2 linked regions of the Styela clava genome follow. The protein of the gene in region 1 purifies or fractionates together with the protein of each later gene. This does not show direct contact. Links are inferred from orthologs where the notes say so. Each region holds a gene or a part of one and is shown in the gene's direction. Other genes may lie near its edges.

Region 1 (8,076 bases):
TGATTGATAGAATAAAAACTTTTCTGTCACATTTTTTTAAAATTTATATTCACGATTAAATCTCTTTCACAAAATTAATAATTGTACGTCATTGTGAACTGCAAATTAAAACCAAATTTATTTATTCACTTCACAGTCAGCTCACTCAACATTTACTGTAGGCCTATCATAAAATCGAGTTTTTACCCAAACTACGTACGAAAAACTTTATTAAATCTGATGCAATCTACAAAAATACATCAAATATTGTCACGAGTACGAAGAAACAAATACCATGAGGATTGACGGCATATATTTCCGACCTTCCGCAGTATTTATGAAGATGTCCAGCTAAGTATACGCCACCCCTCTTTCCAACCAAACGTGTGAGTCTGGGAGGAAAATTTGTTATGGTGGAAGTTGGATAATGACCGTACCAAATAGTGAAATTATCGCTGGCCGTTTCGTGCTCGAAATTTTCAAGTTTCTCCATGCTTCTCTCTGAAAGATACCCTGAAGTAGAACGTTAATAACCGATAAAATGAGAAGTTTAGCTCTTTCCCAGCTATACGAATCACGTTAAAACAACCTCCATGTTCTCATTAAGTTTATCGCTTGGGTGGCATTGCTACGCGTTTAAATCCGCCACGTTCAGAAGACTTTATCTACCTAGAGCTTTCATCGCGTGCTCAGTCCTGCAAAATTTCGATCAGAGCAGGCGAAGTAAGCAAGCTACCACGCAGTAGAGTAGTAGGCTATGTTTTGACTTAGGTATATATACAATCTACAATTTGTAATATTCTCACCCATAAAATTGTATGGTCTCCTTGGGCCTGGTATCATGGTCGCATCAACAGGAATAAAAGAGTATTTTCCGTACTGTTTCTCAACCTGATAAACAGCAGACGACAACTTTCCTTTGTCACCAGAATATTTTAAATAGTAATTAGAATTCGGATCATTTGCGCGAGCGACGTCGAACGCATCTGTGCAAGAAAGGAAAAGAATTTGTGTCAGGGAGAGCAAATGATAATAGTAAGATGTTATTCATTTACAAATCTGTTGGATTTCTAATATTATATACAATATTGAAATGACATAATTTTACATGACTGTAGAATAGGATAGGTTAGATTAGTTAACCAATCAATTACATATAGCGTAGAAAGTAATGAGAGTACAAATGTGCCTTTTTCTGTACCCCCAAAGTATGTGAACCAAGATGGTGGACACCGGAACGTAGTATGTGTATCAGTTTAGGGTTAGGCCATGTAGTTTTAACCAATTTTAGTTCTATTACGAGTTCAGGGACTAGCCGAATGACTCTCGTATTAGCCAAGTGACTCCAGTATTGTTTGTACCTGAAATTATGGTCTAATCCCAACCTCGTTCACATACTACGTTTCTCGAAGTCCGCCATCTTGGTTCACATACTTCGGGAGTACCCATTTTTAGTTTCAAGCACATGACTGGGGTGTCCAAATTTTATTCGTTATCGTACTGCACTTCAACATAAAAACGTTCAATTTTCAAGATTTACCATGGTTTCCTCGGATATCAAGCCACACATATTTTTCTGTGACATTATTTTTCGTGATAATAGAGTGATATATTTTCCATTCTTCTTCAAATTGTCGAGAATCAATCTTGTTTTCTTCTTTTGCATCGGTAAGATCTCCAGTAACAAGCACTAATTCCGGATTTATTGTAGAAAGAGTAGAATTGCAAAAATCATCAAAAGCTTCAACTTGGTCCGATTTCCAAAATTTACTGGTGTGAATATCTGATACCTAATTGATAAAAAAATAGAGAAATCTATATATTATATCGATGCATAAAATTGAAGCGCAGCTATACCGTCCTTACTTTTTAGCGAAATAATTAAAATATACATTTGCAGCGTAATGAAATACATAAATATAATCAAGGGTGTATCAACAAAGATGACATATAGAATTGGGTCACCATATTTGAAAAAGCAAAATTCCGGACAGTGCATGACTATTTTCATGACTTCGTAGTAAAAAAATATGCGCACGGTACGAAATAACAATGTTCCGCATTAGCAGTGTGCACAGTAGAATTGCAGATGCAGTAAAATTCCGGATTCCGGACATTTGAGCATTTTTTAAATTCTTCCCGGAGGCAAAATTTGACCCTAAATTCCGGACATGTCCGGAATTTTCCGGACGGTATGGCAACCCTAACATAGTATATATAACAGACAAAACTGATATGATATTGACTATCACTGCTCTTAACCATGGTACATACAATTCTATTCGCGTCTATACATATAAATATATAAAACGTTCATTTTGATAAAAAAAAATTCCTCCCTGTAACCTGATAACCAGAGGTCGTGGTTCGCCGTATAATTGAGCATTGCGGGGAAAATATTCTCCGTATAGAACTACCGGTAGTTTACAACCCCTGGCCCATCTGATGTAACACAGCTTTGTTTTTACGATTTCTCAATGCGCGCGTGTAGGTGTTGCGCATTATGTGCGAGAAGATTGTTGGACTCCTCACTGCCGTAGGGTGGTTCACGTCACCGCTGGTCGGTTAAGGCTTCCTCTACCATTAAGACAAGACCATGCTTCTGAAGATAAAATACCTGGACTGGTAACCGGACGAGAAGCCGTGGTTCACCATATGATTAAGCCGTCTTATCGGTTTTCCTCTTGTCCAGGAATCTTATCCTATCCTATCCTAGAACTCACCTGAACAAACCAAAACAAATTATCATTGCTGTCACTCGGATATGGTCCATTGTTTGATTTCATCTCGTGAAAATACCGAGGTTCCGGTTTATAAAATGCATAGATTGAAACAATAATACATAATGAAGAAATCAGAGATACATGACAGACTGAAAGCAATCTTGTCCTTCCCATAATCTACTCGAAGAAATATAATTCACGTTATAGCCTCGGTCTCGATTTTGTTTTGAAGGAAATTGGGCGATCGATTGGATTCGATAAAATTTCGTGTATAATGAGAATAACGTTTTGTTCAGTCACCAGTTATTAATTAGACAAATGCATATATGTAGTAGTTTATGCCTAACACAGCTATTAAATGTGATTATTTGAAAATGAAATACGATTCAACGTCGCCAAAGCATGGCCGTAGACTACTCAATCACAGGAGTGGGCAAATTACTGCCCGCGGGTCAGATCCAGCCCACCATATGTTTCACCCGGGCCACTTGTGCCTGCTAAAATTACGACTATAATTTTTATGGATGTAAAATTTCTGTTTAAAATATCGAGTAAAAGTCATAGTCAATTTTGTTTTTTCCATCCATTAAAACATACGAAATTGAAAAATAAATGAAATCCAACACACATTTTCACTGGGGAAGGGAAGTCGTGGGCAACCAAAACGAATCGCCAGCTAAATAAATATCGTAATTCCCCACGCTCTAAATTTAATGTGTAAAACGAGCCACGTATACTTCATACTCACCCATCCAAATCAGTATTCCGAAGTATGAAGATTGACAAAATCAAAAGCAGATTAAACCCACAAGCGATCTAAAGAATTATTGGACGCGTTGAGTCGTCAGTCCCATTAATCACTGTGACACTTGGTCTCTAGCTGTTTGCTTTACATTAGTTGTTACGCTAGTTATTTGTAAATAAACCGCTTTTTACTCATAGTTTCATATTGAGCCTCCGACCCAGTAACGAAGTTTTTTTTATCTGTAGCTGGCCCAATCAGGAAACTAATTGCTATATATCATTATTAAATCAACAGTACATGGAGTCCTCGGGTTACGACGGTCGCGACTTACGCTGTTTCGAGGTTACGAACGCACTTCCAAAAAATATGTAATAGAATTCTGTACTGTAATATCTAAGCCCTTAAACTGGATAATTGTGATCAAGAAAATCAGTGCTTTGGGCTGGCTCATTGGTTTTCCTCGTTTACATCGTACTTTTTGCATTATTTGTACATTTTATTACTGTACCATACTTTACAATACAGTACGATATGTATAGAGTAATTTGTATGTGAAATTCCGCAATTCATTAAATCAGTAATATAATATAACAGTTGTGCGTTAGTGCATTATTCTGGCTATTCGACCATTGATTTCACAAAACTTGACCAATATTAAATTTTTTGCTCATAATAATATTATCCATAAGGCTAAAGAATTCATTCGAGCATTCCGAAAATAAAACCAAAATATTTACAAATGAGACATGATGAAAAAATTCAAGACAATATTGACCAATTCCAGTGTCTTCTATTGTATTTGCATGCTTGGCTTGACAATTTTTAATTATTGATTATCAATTATTATTAGGCTGTGTCATTATTAAGTGTCTCGCAAAATATCTGGAAATTGGCTGGTCCTCGTGCAACGGGAATCATTCCATGAGCGTACAAACACGGAAAAAGCTCTGGTTATCTATACCAAATGGAAAAGCGAAATCCAAGTCTCAACATAAATGCATCAACACCAACGAAATATTATTACGCTTTGTATTGTGCGCAAGACATAAGCTCCATTTGATTTTTGACTTCCATTTTTGAAATTATTATTGAAATGTATGGGCTTAGATTCTTACTGTTATTTTCGAGGTTAGGTCATTGTATGGTAGCCTACTCCTGAAATATGAGCACCAAGATGTCGCATAACCTGAACTCTAACCTGGTACATAACCTGAGTTCAGGCTGTGCGCCATCTTGGTGCGTATACTTCAAGAGGTCCCATTGTATCAATCACAGTTTTATCTCTAAGTACCGGATAAGAAAATCTCAATAAAGTTATATGCCGTTTAAAAAATATGTCCATCAACGTTCAAGTTGAAAATTTTGCCACATCATATATAAAAAGTAATTGTTTTGAGTAGTTGTTATATTTCCTCAAAGAGTAATTGGATGCATGTATGTATATTTACCCCAAAAATGTAACAGTATCTGCATAATAGTTAAACGGTATAAAAGAGACGGGATACATGTTCAAGACCTTACTGGCCTAAGACACAGATGTGCGACATGTAAGTTTTTTATGTTGGACGTCGGACATCTGCCTCTCGTAAACCCAGAAGCAAACCCGGAAATTGATAACCCCAAAGAGCTCAAAAAAAATTATTATTTGGCTATTCTTGCACGTGCGTTTGTTGATGTTTTGTACAGCGATACTGCGTCAATTCCTCGGTATTTTTGGCTAGTTTTGTTGTTAGCGACAAAAGCATTATACCGGTACCGTACTGTAACTGGGACAGTAGGAAACAACTAACTGTGTGTATAGTGAAAAAGAGATTTTTGCCGGTGAGCAGTACCGGTACAGTCTGGTATCAGACGGCCAATTCAGGGACAACACTAAAAGGCTGAAGGAAGAAACGGATGAAGTGGAGGGAAAACGGAAGTTGAAGTGTTCCCAAAGGTGAAAAATTAAAAAACACTAAAAGGCTGAACACTAAAAGGAAGAAGTGGATGAAATTTCTTCCGACGGGTAGTTAGGTGGCTGAAGTCACTAAAAAGCTGAACACTAAAAGGAAGAAGTGGATGAAATTTCTTCCGACGAATAATGAGGTGGTTGAAGTCACTAAAAAGCTGAACACTAAAAGGAAGAAGTGGATGAAATTTCTTCCGACGAATAATGAGGTGGTTGAAGTCACTAAAAAGCTGAACACTAAAAAGAAGAAGTGGATGAAATTTCTTCCGACGAATAATGAAGTGGTTGAAGTCACTAAAAAGCTGAACACTAAAAGGAAGAAGTGGATGAAATTTCTTCCGACGAATAATGAGGTGGTTGAAGTCACTAAAAAGCTGAACACTAAAAAGAAGAAGTGGATGAAATTTCTTCCGACGAATAATGAGGTGGTTGAAGTCACTAATAAGCTGAACACTAAAAGGAAGAAGTGGATGAAATTTCTTCCGACGAATAATGAGGTGGTTGAAGTCACTAAAAAGCTGAACACTAAAAGGAAGAAGTGGATGAAATTTCTTCCGACGAATAATGAGGTGGTTGAAGTCACTAAAAAGCTGAACACTAAAAGGAAGAAGTGGATGAAATTTCTTCCGACGAATAATGAGGTGGTTGAAGTCACTAAAAAGCTGAACACTAAAAGGAAGAAGTGGATGAAATTTCTTTCGACGAATAATGAGGTGGTTGAAGTCACTAAAAAGCTGAACACTAAAAGGGAGAAGTGGATAAAAAAATTTCCGACGAATAATGAGGTGGTTGAAGTCACTAAAAACTGTACACTAAAAGGAAGAAGTGAATAAAGTTTCTTCCGACGAATAATGAGGTGGTTGAAGTCACTAAAAAGATGAACAGTAAAAGGAAGAAGTGAATGAAATTTCTTCCGGCGAATAATGAGGTGGTTGAAGTCACTAAAAAGATGAACACTAAAAGGAAGGAGTGGATGAAATTTCTTCCGATGGATAGTGAGGAATACTTGAAAATTTAATATATTAGGAATTGGGTAATTTAATGTTTGTTCTGTTCGTATTTATGAGACAATGTCCTCGTGGATTCGTTTTTTGTTAATTTTTTTATATGTTATGCTCAGTTCGAGCCTGGCGAATTGAAGGCCATGACATTCTCGTTATATTCTTTTTAATTTTGATGTAATGTGCAAACAAATTAATATATATATATTTTCATATCTAGCTGTTCTAGATCAACAAACCTTGTAATTTATAATATGTTTGTGGCCCACCTCAAAATGCCTCTGAGGCTTACCAGTGGCCCATTGCCCATTGGTTGAGAACCAGTGGTCTAACAGGACTTCGATTTGACTAATACATAATTATTCAAAGTCTTCGTGCGTGAACTGCTTGCAAAATTTATAAAAACAGATATTAAGTTCAAGGAATGAAATACGGAATCAAAAATAAATTATATTCGGGCACAATATCACGGCAATCTATTATTAATCACGGCAATTATTATTAATTTTTGATTCCTATTTTCGTATTTACAAAATACAACGGCGATCCATGGACTTAAAATGTGTGGTAAACTGCCTGACTATAATTAATTCTTGATACATATTTTCGTATTTATAAAATAATAAAAGATATATATGCGGACATTGAAGTGCCCGAATATAAAAAAATCCATTCGTATTTATGTACTCACGAAAAAATTGTCGCAAGTCAGAAATATAATTTATACTTTATCCCGCTTTTTGGCAAATAATTTGGATAATGGTTGGTATTTAAAAGTATGGACTTTTACTAGGATGATTTTGTGTTGCGCAAAATGTTCAAATCTATGACCGATAGCACTATTTTAAATGCTTGCCGTATTAATCTAATTCTGATAACGTAACTCATGGTATATAAAAATATATCGCAGTAATCTGCAAACATGAAATGCATGGTAATATAGTCATGTTGTAGATAACAGTTATTCCATTGTTTATTGTATGCAAATTCCTTCATATACTATAGATCAGTAGTCGGCAACCACCGGGCCGCGGCCCATCGCCGGTCTGCGGAAAGGTCACTACCGGTCCGCAGAAAGGTGACATGAAAACGTACAATGCCATTGTTATCTTCACGTGAGGTTGGGTTTTTAAAATGGCAATTACAAAAACGAAAGATCGAAGTGGGTTTAACGTGAGAAATACGTTACGTGAATAGTATCACCTTCGTTTTTGAATGTATTGTCAACATACATTTTCTAACGCATATTATTTATTACATTAGATTAGTTCGTTTGTATAAAGATGGTCCGCCAAAATTTTGGTCAGGCTTTACCGGTCCGTTACTGAAAAAAGGTTGCCGGCCACTGCTATAGATCATTGATTTTCAACCGGTGTTCCGCGGAACACCGGTGTTCCGCGAGAGACCTCCGGGTGTTCCGCAGAAAATTGCTTTTTTGCAGTATTATGACGTCATAACTGATATTTAACCGTCCGATGGATTTATATAAATTTCACAAAGCGCGGTTCACAACCGCTTCCAATCTTGCTATCATTTTCCACTACCTATCTTTGCGAAATGAGTTTTTAAGCATGGCCGGTCTAGGGCTGTGCAAAATATTCGAATAGCGAATACAATATTAAAATATTCGAATGCCATTTTACTATTCGTATGTACAATACCACATAATCTGTACCGCTT
Region 2 (8,026 bases), on another chromosome or scaffold:
GCATTTAAATTAAAATACCTGGCTAACTAATTCCATACTCCCATGGGCTGCTAACCGGACGAGAGGCGGTATGATTGAGTCATCTTATCGGCTACCCCACCCCCCAGAATAAATATGTAAATCCTATCCTAACTATTTCAACCTCTGCCCCACGACCACCACCCTCAATGAATAGGGTGAGCTATAGACAGAATAAGATTGTAGTCTGGACAGTGGTTGCTTGCACTGGGACTTGTTTGGAAATAAGATGTACATAATCCCATGAAATAAGTAAAATGATGGAGTCAATCACATGTTTTATCCAAGTAATTCTATGAACAGTGGATCATACCTTTTATACATCTGTTGATATCAACAACTTCGGGAGTTTTATTCAAACCAGTTCCTTCTAATATTTTAGTTCTTGTATAATCTTTTATTCGATCGCATAATTGTTTTTGATGTTCCACATACCTAGATGATTTCACTGAAACAAAGAAAGATTAAATGAAACATGTTACATAAAAATGATAGTGAAATAAAATTGAATGAAAATAACAATGAAACTATTTAAAAATATGAAGTGATATATAAGTTATTATCTGGGGGCATGGTATGAAGCCATAGCTGAGAGAAAATGAGATAAAGTATGTAAAGTAGCCTGCCCATGCGTAAGAGATACAATTCTAAATCCTTATTACGAGGCCACAGATTTGGTTTTCATTAAGTCAACAATTATCCTCAAGTAAAAGGGAGTAAATTGAACGGGGTTATGCAAAAAAATAAATGAGATAAAATTATACATTATTCCTGTAGGTTGCAATGACTGAAGATTGCCTTGTATGGTGGGTGCCCTATTTCAGTAAATGACAGAAAAAATTGAGCAAACAGTGTAATCATAGAGATACCTTGTAATGACAATCCAACTACGATGGAAAAAACGATGACGAAGAATATCACAGCAAATAATATTCCCAACATAACTTTTTTTTGAACTTCCATATCCGAATTTCCGTTTCTACCTGTTAATGTAATAATAAAAGATAAAATTATTATGCAAGCTTTTACCTTGTGAAGGTGGGTAGACTCTCTTGTTTTCGAATGATAACATCATTCCTCTATTTCAGACACAAAGGCATAACGTTAACTGCGGTAATGGGGCAGACATAAGATAAATTATATTTGGATTCATTTATAAAGATGATAAAGAAATTGTACAAATCTGTGGTATGTATAAATAAAAACATTAAACCTCCAGTAGGTGTATTATCATTCTTTTCTTCATCTTTGACGTCCTCAGAAGTCATCGCAAACATAGACTGAATGGAAAAGAGTAGCGTCAGACAGCACTCGCGCGAACGGTAGGCGACAAACGTTGTCAGGGGAAACGTAATGCACGAAACCCCAACAACACTATGATTTACTAGGCAAAGTGATCGTAAAAATTTAAATATTTAATTAATATTCGTGTTATGTTTATATTAGTTAGTAATAAATAAAATAGGTTGATCGTGCGGTCATATCGCAGTTATCCTCAAAGACGAAAACAGCTACCGCCAATCTGATACGCTTGAATTACTACACATGGTAATCAGTTGGGGAATCTGGCATTTCGTAGCCGTTTTCGTTTCATTTCTTTGAGCTGCCAAAGGTGAGATAGGCGACGTTGAGCTTTACTAAGTCTGTTCGATTCTTTCTATTTCTTCATAAATTATATACAAATTTTGGTTTTTGTCTTAATTGGTTGGTATAGGCTACGTAGTAACTTTATTCGAGGATTCTTTTTCCAGGCCAGTTTTCCCGATGATACTGTGATAGGATTTACATATACATATAAGTTATATATATTCCGGTATTTATCATACGGTACCCGGTACCGTATCTCGCGGAAGAGGAAATCCGACTAGAAGGCTAACCAATTATTTGTGTGTTTATTGTTTTGTGTACCTGTATGTTTTTCGAGGAAACTTGTAGTATCAGTAGGGTACCGTATATTACAGTATAGATCAGTGGTTCCCAAACTTTTTGAAAAAAGTTCCATGACTGACCCCTTGCAATTTTTTGGATGATTCCCGGCCTTGTGCACTAAAATAAAAAAAACATTATTAAAATATCACAACAAAAAATCAATGCGTCGTGTAGTGATAAACATTAAAACGAACAAAAGTACCGGTACCGTATATGACGAAGTTTAACGAGATGAATGCACTTGTTTTGTTGTAAAATGTTCAGCATTTAAAAGCGAACTGGCATAAACTGCCTAGTGTCTGCTGTAACTCCCTCCTATACCGATGAACATGCAAAAAGGCAGCATCAGCTACACCTCTGCAGTTACGGTAACTTGTATTGGCAACAATTGAACTCTCAGTGATATCACACCCACAGATCTGTGACATCACAATGGGGCAGCGTGATCGAAACAGTAAGTGAAGAATCAGTGTCTCCAACAAAAAGGGGCAAATGCTTATTTGCAAATTTAAGCACTCAATTTTTGTGTTATCAAGCTATGAGCCATATAACAGATTTCTTTCGCGGACCATCCGAAAGTGCTTCGCGCACCCCACTTTGGGAACCACTGGTATAGATGGATAGAGCAGTTTTAAAAGCGGAATTTCACAGTTTGCTGGCCAAATTGAGACTAACTTCTTTTTGACAATGTTCATAATGTTTAGCTTTTTCATTTTCTAATTTAATAAACATCACTAATTCATAATTCTCATTGAATGTGAGTGATAACACATCAATTAATTTGAATATCACTTTTTGATATAATGAGTGATATAATTATGGTCAAAGTTAATCCAACACAACAGGCATTTCTTTACACTTCTAACTTATTCACTTATTTAAATAGATATTGGGGTCTGGTATAGTTTAGTACCACATGCACTTCTAGTTGGTCTGGCCTGACAATTTTTGCATATGTCAATCCTAACCCCTACCTGATTACGTCACCGAAAAATTATGTCATTTCGTCACAGTGGCGTAATAAGGCCAAAGTATGTGGATGGTCATCCAAAACGCGCAGACGATCACCCGAAATCGAGCAAGCTATTTCTCTCATTTCTTGTCACAACGATCACGATAGGAGAGAGATCGTCAGCATTAGCGAGTTCGTTATTGGCGGCACAGATGCCATTATTTGTAATTATACTTTGGCAAGCCCTAATACGTGATGGTGACGTCGTAGTAACATAATTTTTGGATGGCATAGTCAGGTGGGGGTTAGGAATAACATATGCATAATTCGTTATGCTACGTCCACTGGAAGTACTTGTCGTACCAAACTATACTAGACCCAAATATTGTTACTGGTCCAATTCAGGTGATATTGAAATAAATCAACTATCTAACAAAATGGCTGAAAGACAACGAAAACTAAAAATTCAAACTGGAGTTGTGAAAAGAATTGCTAAAGAGAAGGTGATGTATGAAGAAGAAGCTGTGGGTATTGCAGAAAAGATCAGTAAGATGGAAGATGCTGGTGGAGATGAATATGTTATAAAAAAGCAAAAGGAGGTCTTGGCGGAATCTAAACAAATGGGTCCAGATTGTCAAAAAAGACTTGAACAAGCAATAGAAGTATTAAGCGGTCTTGTTGAAACTGAAAAAGATCTGGAAGAAACTGAAGAATATCAAAATGCTGTGAATCAACTAAATGAAGTGAAATAAGCTTTGTAACTGCAAAATATGAATACTGTATTAGTGTTATACATTGAAAATGTGGTTTGAACATGATTTGAAATGAGTATATATACCAATGTAGTTTATGTAGAAAATCACAATTCTTCGAAATTTATAATAAATGCCAGTACTGGAAATATTTAAATAAAATTGACTTGACGAAATTTGAATTTATCCTGAAAAGCTGCTTTGTAAGAATTTACAAATTACTGCTTTTTGCAGACTTTATTTTTGCTGAGAAATCATTTTTATTATGTCCATTTTAAGATGATATTTCAAAATTTTATCGTTGTTAAAAAGCACAACTCCGAATATTTGAATCTATGTTGATTGAAATGCAGAATCCTTTTTCTGGGTATCTTTGAATTTAAACAAAAATTAAATTTTTGATTTTGGCAGATTTTTCTTCAAATGGCAGTCTATACATATTCCCAGGACATCTTAGTTATATCTCATTCCTGAATGATTTTGACTTATAAACTAATTTATGATATCTCATCTGATGTTTCATTCATGAACATCATATTTCACATCTAAATTATAGTTAGACCAGTTGTTCCAATACTGTGTTTACATACTTCACCATTGACAAATACAAATTGAATAGGAAGATTACATCATTTGTTAGCACAGTACGTTCTCCTCAGCAGAATTGTACAAATTCAATTACCGATGTTAAATCCACCTCATAAACAAAATTTTTAAGTGTGATTTTTTTAGACACATTACAAAATTTTAGAACTGCTATTCATAGGGAAATATGCAGGTTACTTCAATCAACCACTTAATAGCTCTTGGTTGCATGAATATCGTATCATTTAAGATGTTGCATCAATTATATCAATGTCAGCAAACTCATGATATCATCACTGCTTAACATGTATTTTTTGTTTCCTTGTTCTGGTACACACCAAGATCTGTAAGACTCGAACTGGTTTAAGTCTCGTATAATATAATACTTTTGAAAGCAGTTTTCAATCTTCATTTTAGTCTCCTTACAGACTTTTTTTTGTTTTAGGTGTATCAATGAGTATCGGTGTATGCTTGTTTAGTATAATTTCAGCTGTGAATATTAATTTCATTATGAACCATGATTAAACTGTTCCATACCATACTTGATATTTCTTTAAGTAAGCATATTGATGAAATGCCGCCTGTTTCAGATTTCATTTCAAGTGTTGGACATGATTTATAGTTGACCCATACCTTGGCTATTCTTATACATTATAATTGTTTGATTGTTCACTGGGTCTTTATTTATCTTGCATGCATATTTTACTATTCAATTTAGTTTTGTAAAATTTTGTTTCAGTATTCTAGCAATAAAATGATAGAAAATTCTGCAAAGTATTCGACCAGATTTCGAAAGAAGTTGGTGAAAGCTAGAACTAAACTAAACAAAGAAGGATTAACATTTTCTGATTTCCCAACCCTGTATATTGTTATATCAAACGGGGGTCTTGCTAATGGAGTTCAAAGAAGCAATTTGGAAGAAATAATAACTTCTTTTAAGGAACTAATCATGCTACCTCAAAAATCCTATGCGATGGTTTCCTTCGAGAACACGAAAAATTCACAAGCCACATTTGAGAAATTACAAGGACATGTATTGAAATCAACTCTGAATCTCGCTTCTCCTAATCCGATATTATATTTGCATTATGTCAACGATTTGAATCTACAAAAATCTGGTGATTTTCAATCACCTGGATGGGATAATGTTCCGGGACTGATTATACTTGAAGATTTTATCACAGAAACGGAACAAATAGAACTTTTAAAATTTCTCGAAGCTGACAGCCCGGTCTCAAACGGATTCGATTGCTCTGATAACATTTTAAAACATAGAAAAGTTTGGCATTATGGGTACGAGTTTCGATATAAACACAATGACGTCGACCCTAAATCACCTTTAGAAAAAGGCATACCAAAAATTTTAAAATCTGTAATTTCAAAAATGAAAGAAACTGGGCATATTGTCAAAGAACCGAATCAAATTACAATAAATAAATACGAGCCAGGACAGGGTATTCCATCACACATTGATAATCCTGAAGCATTTGATGACACGCTTGCTTCATTAAGCTTAAATTCACAGACAGTGATGGATTTTAAAAACTCAAAAACAAAGGAACATAACCAAGTTTTGCTTAAGGAACGATCTTTAATGATTTTTACTGGAGAATCGAGATACAAATGGACTCATGGGATTTGTCCTCGAAAAGTTGATCTTATTCCTGTGAACAAAGATGATGCCGATAAATTAACTTCTGTAAATCGTGGAATGAGGATGTCTGTAACATTTAGAAGAGCTAGGGAGGATTACAGGGGTCCCAGGTATGAAAATTATGATGTTAGCACGTCCGGTAGATTTACAATTTAGTGTCTAAATCTACCATTATCCATTTCAGATTTGGTAAAGCAATAATGTGAACCATAACTGACAGTTCGCTCATGGCATTCAAGTGTAATTGTTTCTATGTACAAATAGGAGGTGGAGTTATAAAAGCCAAATAAAATACTTTCGTGCACTCGAAAATAATGTTAAGGAATTGATGCAACTATACTTGACTATACTTTTCAAAAATATTTTAATTTAATAAAACATAATCAATCCGTTTGTTTTTCCAGCCAAAATCCAGATGTAGATCGACCAGCAAATGAAGTAGAAGCTGCAACATTAGAGGAAGAACATGTTCATAAAGTTTACAATGAAATAGCTTCACATTTTACATCAACAAGAGACAAACCGTGGCCCAAAGTTAAACAATTTATTAATGAGTTGGAGGTATTTGTTCCATTACCTAATAAATATTTTGGTACTGAATAATGACCATTCAGAATACTTCCAAAGTAAGTTTAAAATAAAAAACTAAGTCGCCAAACTAAGGGGTCTGCTTATTCCGCATAACTCTGATCGCACTGAACGAAATGACATTATGCTAGTATAATTCCAACAGCTACAACTCGAACCATGCTATGTTCTCATGATAAGACCGTATGTACAATTTGTAGGGTCGGCTTATATGTGAATTTTTATAATTTCACCCTTTTAGGGTCGTTTTTAGAGGGTCAGCTTATATGCCTGGATATACAAGTTCTTTTGTGTTAGATTAAGACTGTCAATTATGAAAATATTTCAAAGACTTGATGATATCATACTCTTGATAAGGGTACTGTTATTTCATGTTTTCTGTATTTCATGTTTTCTGCAAATATAGCCCTGAATTTATAATTTGTTTGTAGGAATCTTCGTGGTTTGGCTCAGAATGACCTATTCCATGGGTGAGGGGGCTTTGTATCAAAGTTAGACTTTTCCCACAGGTGTCGCTGCGTGATAACCAACATTGTTCGTCACCCTTCACCATGAAATGCCATTTTCATGTTTTTTGCCAAGTTTTTGTTTGCTTTTTGCTTTGCTTTTTGGTGAAAAATAAACTACTGACTGACTGACTAAGTTGTAGGATTTGTCTGACTACTGTGCTAATTTATCCACATTAATATATGTTTCAGGCTCACTCAACAATCATAGACGTAGGTTGCGGCAGCGGTCGTTATCTTGGTGTAAGGCAGGATGTTTACATGATTGGATGTGATCGGAGTCTAAATTTAATCAATATTTGTAAAGAAAAAGGTTTCAAGGTGAGATTCATGTACTTGGACTCCTGTATAAACTTACTAGAAATTACGGATGTAGGCGTGTGCTCTGAACTACATATTTATCCTTTGGGAGCGGAAAGCCAATAGGACTAGTTAATAACATATAGCGAACCACAGCCTCTTGTCCAGTTACCAGTCCATGTCTAGTATGGAATCAGTTAGACAATTATTTGTTTTCAGCCGTAACCGACCAGCGGTTCCGTGTATCACCCTACGGCTGCGAGGAGTCCAGCAATCTTCTTGCACATAATTATCTCCGCATGGGATTCAAACCTGCGAACCCACACAGGGTAATCAGAGGTGCGGTGGCAAGCGTGTTCCTAAGCTTAGCACGATGCGCCCATCTGCCGGGCCATATATGCAACCAGTAATATGCCTGCCACAAACATTTCAAAATCTTCTGTTTGAAACTCCACATGTCTAACTATGATTATTTGACCTTCAACCTTGTGCTAATTATAGGTTTTCACTTGTGATGGTCTGAATCTTTCATTACGGCATGGAATCTTTGATGCCTGCATTTGTATTGCTGTTATTCATCATTATTCAACTCATGAGAGAAGAATGAAAGCGATTGAACAACTTTTACAACTAGTGAGGGTCGGAGGACAAATTTTAATTTCTGTTTGGGCCATGGAACAAGAATACAAAAGGTTTGTTTAGAAGTTGATTTCAGGAAGAATATATTTTAACCTCCTCAGAA

Evidence for each region.
Region 2: the proteins of multifunctional methyltransferase subunit TRM112-like protein (region 1) and tRNA (carboxymethyluridine(34)-5-O)-methyltransferase alkbh8-like purify together in Homo sapiens (co-immunoprecipitation; 3 studies listed by IntAct, with this or other methods). This does not show direct contact. The link is inferred for Styela clava from reciprocal best matches to the Homo sapiens genes TRMT112 and ALKBH8.

What each region holds. Positions count from the first base shown.
Region 1 is NC_135251.1:12,668,998-12,677,073, forward strand, and holds the start of multifunctional methyltransferase subunit TRM112-like protein, read left to right. Parts: upstream 1-5,023; 5' UTR 5,024-5,302; intron 5,303-8,076. Other genes in the region: transmembrane protein 62-like, read right to left, coding at 274-492, 786-965, 1,520-1,769, 2,703-2,876. UniProt on the Homo sapiens protein: Acts as an activator of both rRNA/tRNA and protein methyltransferases. Together with methyltransferase BUD23, methylates the N(7) position of a guanine in 18S rRNA.
Region 2 is NC_135256.1:5,600,142-5,608,167, reverse strand, and holds the start of tRNA (carboxymethyluridine(34)-5-O)-methyltransferase alkbh8-like, read left to right. Parts: upstream 1-4,990; coding exon 4,991-6,000; intron 6,001-6,294; coding exon 6,295-6,451; intron 6,452-7,176; coding exon 7,177-7,305; intron 7,306-7,785; coding exon 7,786-7,976; intron 7,977-8,026. Other genes in the region: uncharacterized protein LOC120327843, read right to left, coding at 332-466, 888-1,001, 1,232-1,295; tubulin-specific chaperone A-like, read left to right, coding at 3,337-3,651.